Linked DNA regions of Sus scrofa. The protein of the gene in region 2 interacts with the protein of the main gene of each other region in a pairwise test. Links are inferred from orthologs where the notes say so. Each region holds a gene or a part of one and is shown on either strand. Other genes may lie near its edges.

What was found.
Region 1: the proteins of UROD (region 2) and FAM84B interact in binary tests that used the Homo sapiens proteins (3 or more experiments, as listed by UniProt). The two-hybrid records come from large-scale screens. The link is inferred for Sus scrofa from reciprocal best matches to the Homo sapiens genes UROD and LRATD2.

Annotation. Positions count from the first base shown.
Region 1 is NC_010446.5:13,443,813-13,448,218, reverse strand, and holds the start of FAM84B (protein FAM84B), read right to left. Parts: upstream 2,937-4,406; 5' UTR 2,465-2,936; exon of another isoform or gene 2,451-2,464; intron 2,394-2,450; exon of another isoform or gene 2,015-2,393; intron 1,918-2,014; 5' UTR 1,822-1,917; coding exon 883-1,821; 3' UTR 1-882.
Region 2 is NC_010448.4:166,327,631-166,332,006, reverse strand, and holds the start of UROD (uroporphyrinogen decarboxylase), read left to right. Parts: upstream 1-1,448; 5' UTR 1,449-1,462; coding exon 1,463-1,482; intron 1,483-2,134; coding exon 2,135-2,247; intron 2,248-2,371; coding exon 2,372-2,451; intron 2,452-2,528; coding exon 2,529-2,591; intron 2,592-2,805; coding exon 2,806-3,003; intron 3,004-3,129; coding exon 3,130-3,291; intron 3,292-3,621; coding exon 3,622-3,759; intron 3,760-3,925; coding exon 3,926-4,026; intron 4,027-4,114; coding exon 4,115-4,181; intron 4,182-4,376. UniProt on the Homo sapiens protein: Catalyzes the sequential decarboxylation of the four acetate side chains of uroporphyrinogen to form coproporphyrinogen and participates in the fifth step in the heme biosynthetic pathway.

The DNA.
Region 1 (4,406 bases), on a different chromosome or scaffold from region 2:
TTCATTAGAAAAGAGACACAAAGGCCTATTCCCTCTTAGAACTAATAACGCAGCTGTAAGTGCCTACAACCTACAACAGTGGGCGAGGAAAACAAAGGCGACAGAACGGAAGCAAAAATGAATCCTTCCCTTAACGGGCCTGTGGCAAGGATTTACTTGTAACCTGGAAAGTGGCTGGCCTGCGATGCAGGAGGCCAACTTCAGAAGACAAACCGCTCAGGGATGGAAAGGGGGGAGGTAGCAAAGTCTTTGTTTTGCAGCCCAAGATTACTCAATCATTTGTTACACTTCACAGGGGGCTCCTTTGTTTCAGTCTGCTGTTCCTAGATGGGTCCTGGTTCCACCAGCCCTGCACCCCAGGAAAACCATAACATAAATCATCCCAACTTCCCAGTTCCCTCACACTGCTCCTAGGGGTTAGCACCACCACAAACTTGCTCTGGCCTTGGTACAGTGTATCCTCCAAGCCTAGGGTAGGAGGGGAAGCGGGCAGAAGGCAATGGCAGATACTGGTACTCAGAACTTTGCTCCACCCCTGCGTGCATAAGAAGGGGCGATTTTTGGACCCATGTCCGGCAGGTACTTAATATCTGGCAAGTCCAAAATGTGCCTCACCTCGGAAAGGAAGACAGATTGAACGGGCAGGCAAGAAGCCAAGAAGCGCCCCCAGCCAAAATGCTCCTACCTGCTCCCTCTTCCTCCTCCGTCCAAGATAACAAACTCAAGCCACAGCTGGCAGCGCTTTTCGCCAACTCTCCGTTTTCCAAATGGCCCAGGAGCCCAGTTGGGACCCAGAAGATGGTGGAGGAGGGAGGGAGAGAAGGGAGGGGGCAGCGGCTGCTGCAAAGGCTCCCTCACGCAGCTCCGCACTCAGCTCGCCTGTCAGTGCACCACCGCCTCTCGGTCCTCCTCCTCTTGGCCCGGCGCCTGGGGGCGCCCGGGAGGCGGCGTAGTCCGCGCGGCGTCGCTGTCGCCCTCGTCCGGCTCCGCGGGGTGCAGGTGCGTGGCCAGCTCCTGTAGCACCGCGGCGCGCCCTATCTGGTCGTTGCGCCGTTTCTCCATGATCAGGTCCTCCAGGCTCTGAAATTCGAGTGTGTGGCTGCGCTGCGCAGAGAGCTGGATCTGCAGCCGGTAAGGCTGCTTGCCAATGCGCAGCTCCCCACCGATCTTGAACTCACGCTTGCCGTAGCGGCACCAGGCGGCGAAGCTCTCAGAGTTGCGCCAGCTCAGCTCGCGCTCCTTGGCGCCCACGTGCGCCAGCGCGTTGCGCACCACAGCGCTGGGGCTCAGCGGCTTGTAGCGGTACAGATCATTCACCACGCGGCCGCGCCGGCCCTGGCTGGCGTCCGTCAGGAAGCTGTTGCTCACCTCCAGCCGGTGCAAGTGCACCACCTGGAAATTGCCCACGTAAACAGCCCAGTGCGGGTACTGCGCCTGCGACACAAACTCCACCAGGTCGCCAGGCCTGCACTTGTTGAGCAGGTTCTCTGGCGTGTAGGTGCTCAGGGCGGCGGAGCCTGGAGCGAAGCTTTTCTGGTAGATACACTCGTCGCGGTAGAACACGGAGCACTCCACCTCGTGCAGCCGTGGGTCATAGGGCTGTGGCGGGGGCAGGGGCGGCCCGTCCCCGCTGTCGGGCAAACCGCCGCCACCGCCATCCAGGCCCTGGGGCGGCGGCTGGGGCTCCACGTCCTCGTCGTCATTGGAGAAGATGTAGGAGACTCCGATTCGGGGCCCGTCATCCCGGTCCACTCCAGTCGGGTCGGCAGTGGGAACTTCCTTATAACTTAGGTGGGTCAGTTTCTCCACCTGGTTGCCCATCACGCCGTGGACACACGTTCACACCGCCGAAAGAGGAGAAAGCGAAACCACCACTAGGGTCATTGGCACAGGTCCCCGGACCGGGGCTGAGACCACCTGTTGGGAGAAGAAGGCAAGGTAGCCATGTAGGAGCCATTCGGTGAAATGGGCGATTTGTTCTTAAGAAGAAGAAAAAAGACTGAGGGCCAGGCACCTGGAGTCATTTTACTAGGCGTCTCAAATGTAGCGAGCTTTCCCTCAGTTTTCCACCTCCAGGGTCACAGTCAAAGGAAGCCTGGCAACTCCAGCTCTCCCCCTCCCCCAGCCCTTCACCTCGCCTGGGCAAAAGCCCATTGCATCAGCGACTCCTACCGCTTCCGCCAGCGCCCTAACCTGCCAAGCCCAAATAGGAGGGGGTAAGAAAAAGAAACTTTACTTCAATTCCCCTTTCCTACTCTCACTTTCACCCCAGGGGCCTAAATTAGCCCCTGAGACGCCCTCCCCGCCATCTAACCGTAGAGAGAAACCGGCGAGGAGCCGCCGCGAGGCTGGAGCAGGTGAGCGGCCCAACCTGGCTCACCTGCGGCGCTTTCTCCTCCCTCCTCGCCCGCCTCCCCCCCGCCGCGCGCCCGCCCTCTAGTTCGGGTTACCTGCGTGAACTCACCCGCGGAGAGGTGGAGGCCGAGGGGAATTGGGAGGGGTCCCCAGCCGCACCCTGAGACTTCTAGGACGAGTTTGCAGGTGTGGGCTCCGCAGTCTCTCCTCTCCAGGCGCAGGCGGCTGCGAGGCTGGGCAGGGGGGAGCGGCGCATGTCTTGCCCCCGCGTAAGACTTGAAGGGGGGGAGTGATGCCTCTTCACACGGCACCTTTTCCCTCCTGCTGGGGCTGTTTCTCCCCCTCAACCGGCTCCCGGGGAGGTGGGGCTCTCCAGAAGAAGAAGGAAGCAGTCTCGGTGCCCGGCGGCTGCAGCTCCCGGTCGGGCCGGGCGAGCAACAAGCGCCGAAGCGGGAGGGACGGGATTGTAGATCCGGCTCCCGGCTCCCAGGGCGGGAGCGCAGCCCCTGGCATTTAAAGAGACAGACGCTCGCTCCCGGAGCCCAGGTCTTTCCCGCACCGCGCGGAGCCTCGGGCATCCCCGCCCCCTTCCCCGCCCCGCCCACCCAGACCAGGGGGCTCCGCCCAGGCCACGCCTCCACTTCGGAGCGGGTTTAAATCCCGCTAGTAAATAACCAATGGGTTGGCTGGACTGGCAGTCTGCGCCCCTCTTGTTGTACGCATAGCCCCTGGGAGTCCTGCTTCCCCTCTTAAAGCAAGGCCTTGTGGGGCCCTCGCTGCTTGCTCAGGTTGTATTTTTCGGAGCTGTGAGCTTTAAAAAGAAGTTGTAAAGCAAACGCCACCTGCCAGTGTAGAAAGAAGAGAGGGATTAAGAGTTTGGTGTTTGTTCTGTTTCCCTTTGCCTGTTCTTTCCCAAAGTACCTGGAGAGGGAGGAACAGACATTAGGAAACAAAGAAACTTTTACTTCCTTCTTTTCTTTCCTAGAACCTATTTCTTGCCAAAGGTCACAGAAAAGAATTTTTTCCTAGGCAGACTGGAGAAGTGCTTCAGTTTAAAGGTGTTTACAAAATAAGTCCTGTGAAACTTTCAGGTAAGAAAAAAAAAATTCGCAGGAAGGAACTGTAGAAAACAGAACAAAGACCTAGTTAGTGACTTGCTTCCAAGACCAGGGCTCTCTTTATTAACTATTAACGTTGCTTGAAATTAGCTCAAAGTTGATTTCATAACCTCCATTGTTTTGAGAGTTCCCAGTTCAAAAGACAGTGAAAGAAAGCATTCGGCTCTGGTTGTTTTTCTTGGCGGTAGAGGATGTAGGAATTGCCTAATTGTCTTTAAATTCAGAGCATATTAGCAGAGGCCCTCGCTGGATATATTTCCTTCCTGCTGACTTACAGAAGGAAATGACAGGAGACTAGTATTGCCTATAACCTCCACTAAAAGAGGGCACTCCCTCTCTCTCCCCTCCATGCTGGTTTTGTTTATTTTACCTAAGATGGAAGCTCTACAAAAGTGGTTTTCTCGCTCTCTGTCTCTCCCTCTCTCTTTTTTTTTTTTTTTTTTTTGGTTTGCTTAAGAATGCAACTCAAGACCTCCTCTGCTCTGTTTTCCATCACTGTTTCTTTTGACTCAATTTTTCCAGGTAACACGATTATTTATTCAGTGGGTCTACTGACCAGTGGAAACAGGAATGTACTAATACTACTGCGATCCTTTTTAGTTTGAGGGGAAAAAAAAGAAATCAATCTACTTATATACTTTGGAGCCCAGCAATCAATATTGGCAGGGCTGTGATGGAAGTTAGTCCTTCAGCAAGTCTAAAATCTCAGTGTAAATTAGACCAAAAAGGGACTTCTGTGTGTCTGCTGTGTAGATTAAGTCTTTTCTGACCGGCCTCAGGCATGTGTGACCAGATGGGTCCCCCCTGAACTTTTTGATAACCCATGCTCTGGGGGCTGCTGTTTTACCTGAATGGTTTTTGCCACTACGAGGTAGGCTCATGTAGATGCCCATTTTACAGGGAGGGGTTAGGCTGAGAGAGGCAATGGCAAGT
Region 2 (4,376 bases):
ACTCCTCATTGCCCTCATTCCCCAGCCCCTGGTAAACTCTGATCCACTTTTTGCCTCCATGAATTTGCCTATTCTAGATACTTAATATTAGCGGAACCATACAGTATTGTCCTTATGCGTCTGTCATTTCACTCAGTATAATGTTACAACAATGTCATAGCATGTATATGTTTATTTTTATGGTTGAATGATATTCCATTGTGTGTGTATACACACCCACACTACATTTTTAAAAATCCATTCATAACTTGATGGACACTTGGGTAGAAACTTTGTTTTGTTTTCAAATAAGTGAAGTTATCAAGAAAAAAAAAATAAATGGTCCCATGTAATTTTGACAGTTTTCCATTTGTTTCTCCTGAGGAAGTTGAGGACACAGTGACTCCCGGCTGTTTGCACACGATCACACCACTACAGGATAAAGTGAACAAGTGCAGCTAACAAGGGCCTGCATAACCTGGACTTTGCAGGCGTCTCCAGCCTCTTAAATTCCACCAACTTGTTTCCCGGTTCCCATAAAACCTCTTCCTCTTTTGCTGTCTTCTCTTTGCACATGCTGTTCCCTCTGCGTGGAACACCCCCATTGCTCTCCCTAATTTTTTTGGGGGGGGTCTTTTTTGCCTTTTCTAGGGCCGTTTCCGCGGCATATGAAGATTCCCAGGCTAGGGATCCAATCGGACCCATAGCCACCGGCCTACACCACAGCCACAGCAACGTGGGATCCGAGCCGCGTCTGCAACCTACACCACAGCTCACGGCAACGCCGGATCGTTAACCCACTGAGCAAGGGCAGGGACCGAACCCGCAACCTCATGGTTCCTAGTCGGATTCGTTAACCACCGCGCCACGACAAGAACTCCAGCTCTCCCTAATAGATGGCGTGCTTGTTCGTTGCTTCTAGCTTTTCCCCTTAAAACATTTACTGTTGTAAATGTAAAGGTTTCTGTTTCCGCATCTTAAAGGACGGAGCTGTCTTGTACATCACTGTGAGCTCTGCATCTACTGTAGTGCTCACCTCTTACTAGGTAATAGAAATATTTCATTATTTCAGTTCCCTGTACAACTTAGTTCCATTAATTCACAGTATGCTTGGTCGAGCCAGACATAAAATTGTTGGAATCCTGGCGTGGGCGTGAAAGTGAGACTTGGGCTGAGTCTTCGGGATTCTCAGGCCATCGGAGGAGGGCAAATTCCTCCTGCCACGCTAAGGGTAGCTACAGCAAGGTTCTTTCGGGGGTGGTATTTGTGGCTGCGTCGCTACAGCGGACTTTACGATGTAGAGAGAGGCGGTCCTACCGGCAGCGGCCGGGGCAGCGCAGGAGCAGCGGCTCGAATCTGATCATGTGACTTTCAACATGGCGGCGGCCTCGCGCCGCTCCAGGAAGGGGCGGGGCTTGAGCAGGGGGCGGGCGCAGACTCAGGTTTTAGTGGGGACCCGGCTCGCGTTTACAGACAGCTGATCATGGAGGCGAACGAGTCTGGGTGAGTCCTTTACCACGTAGTTTGGCCGGCGGGGCTTCTGACCTGAACGTTTCCGCTCAGGAATCTGTCCCTATACCCCTCCTCCCCAGCCCCGGAGAGCTCTCAACCTGAACCCAAGTCGCTGGAATCCCAAATCCTCCAACCAGGATTCCTGAGACATTCATCCCAGGGAATGTCTCGCTGGACTGCGTCCCGCAGACCTTCATTTAGGGGATACCCCCTCGACTTTCTAATCCTCGACTAGGATCCCTATTTCGGACCATCATCTCTGATCCCTCCATGACTGTCCCCCAGCCTGGGGTTCTTCCAGCCCTGAAACAGCCCACTGGTATTCTTGTTCCTGAGATTCTTCTGGTCCAAAGATCCCCAAACTATCCTCACCCCCCCGCCCCCATTCTCCGTGTCTCTTCATTGGCTTTGAGGTTGGGGAAGCTGGGCCAATGTGTAGGGTAGAGGCCCCAGCACGAGCCCTTCTAGTTCTGTGCACCACCAGATAGGCAGAGGGAGGCGGAATCGGCGGGGAGCCACAGCTTGGTAGCTGGCCTGGAGAAGGCAGATAGCGGTGCCAGACTGAATCCACCTTAAGCACCTTAGCCTTGCCCAACTCCTAGCTCAGTTTACTGACACCTACCCCACTCCCTCTGATCTCTAGTCCCCAGGGTTTTCCGGAGCTGAAGAATGACACCTTCCTGCGAGCAGCCTGGGGAGAAGAAACAGACTACACTCCGGTTTGGTGCATGCGGCAGGCAGGCCGCTACTTACCAGGTCAGGGTCGGGGCCTCAGAGTCTAGGTGAAACTCCGAAAGGCAAAAAGTTTTTGAGAGGCAGAGAAGGGCGCGCGCTAGAGGTTCCTCAAAGCTGATCCCTGCCCTCCCTTTTCTGTCTGCAGAGTTTAGGGAAACCAGGGCTGCCCAGGACTTTTTCAGCACCTGTCGATCTCCAGAGGTGTGCTGTGAACTGACGCTGCAGGTGAGGGGTCCACAAAAGAGGGGAGGGATTTATGCCCTCAACTTGCCACCTAGCAACCTGTCTTTGTTTCCCTATAGCCACTGCGTCGCTTCCCCCTGGATGCTGCCATCATCTTCTCCGACATCCTCGTTGTACCCCAGGTACCTGCTCAAACTTTGAACAGGTGGAAAAGAGAAAAGACAGTCAAGGCTCAAGATGAGCACTTATCCTTACTGGACAGAGGGAAAAATAGGCTGGAAGTGATGGAGTTTGGCTGAGTTTTTTTTCCTCCTTTTCCTCCTTCCTGGCATGGGTCGAACAGAACTCTTCCTTTGGAGGTACCCGTTGGGAACTCAGATCTTTCTTCCCCTCCAGGCACTGGGCATGGAGGTGACTATGGTGCCTGGCAAAGGGCCCAGCTTCCCAGAGCCATTACGAGAAGAGCGAGACTTAGAGCGCCTCCGGGACCCAGCAACAGTGGCCTCTGAGCTGGACTATGTGTTCCAGGCCATCACCCTCACTCGGCAACGACTGGCTGGGCGAGTGCCACTGATTGGCTTTGCTGGTGCCCCGGTAATATGGACCAGGGCAGGGACTTGGGCTTGGGGAAACTACGCTGGCAGGTCTGGGTATGGACAAGGGAAGGAAGCGTCAATCTGGCTTCTATACCTGTGACGTTCTCTTTGCACCCTTTTGCAGTGGACTCTGATGACATACATGGTTGAGGGTGGCGGCTCAAACACCATGGCTCAGGCCAAGCGCTGGCTTTACCAGAGGCCGCAGGCCAGTCACCAGCTGCTTCGCATCCTCACTGATGCTCTTGTCCCATACCTGGTGGGACAGGTGGCTGCTGGTGCCCAGGTAAGTCCTGAGGGAGAGACAGACAGGCTGGGGTTTAGGATTAAGGAGAGGAGAGGTGTCTTCATGCCAGGCACAAAATAAGTTTGCTCCGAAATAATGGGGCCGGAGCAGCTAAGCCTAGACCCTTAATGCTGTGTGTGTTCAAAGATCAAAGCCAGTACTGAGATCTGGAGAAGGCAAAACTTTTTGACTGGAACTGGGTTTATAGGCTTAGGCAGTATCAGGGGTTGAAGTCACCTGGGGGAGATTGAGGGACCTTCTGTGTGTGGGGTTAGACACACTTCCTCTTTGTATGTTACCTATTTCTCTTTACCACCCCTCTCATTGCAGGCATTGCAGCTCTTTGAGTCCCATGCAGGGCATCTTGGCCCACAGCTCTTCAATAAATTTGCACTGCCCTACATCCGTGATGTGGCCAAGCGAGTGAAGGCCGGGCTGCAGGAGGCAGGCCTGGCACCAGTGCCCATGGTAAGGTTGAGGATGGGGTGAGTGAAGGCGGGTCTGTGGAACTTTCAGGCTAAGTCCTGGGTGGACCTAAGTGACCACTGGAGGGCAGCAGAGACACAGCGGCGATGTGACAGCAGGCAGAGCAAGGGAAGGCCCTCTGCAGCCTCGGATTTGCCCTTTCCCCCAGATCATCTTTGCTAAGGATGGACATTTTGCCCTGGAGGAACTGGCCCAGGCTGGCTACGAGGTGGTTGGGCTTGACTGGACAGTGGCTCCAGAGAAAGCCCGGTGAGTGATGGGAGGTGAGGTCGGGGGAGGGGGTGCAGCAGCTGCCACAGGTGCAGTTACCGGAACATGGCACTGACTCTGCTTCCAGGGACCGTGTGGGGAAGACAGTGACCCTGCAGGGCAACCTGGACCCCTGTGCCCTGTATGCATCTGAGGTAACAACCAGGTCCCTGTGTTTGTATGTCTGTGAGTTTGTCTCTTTGCACTTCCACGGTTGTGGACATGGTTGTGTTTATTACTGTGTGTGCGTCTCTTTATTATCTGTTTAGCTCTCCCCCCTCCTCCATTCACACCCTGTGAACTCAAGGAAGGCAGGGATTTCTGTTTATTGATTTTGTTCGTTTGTGTTT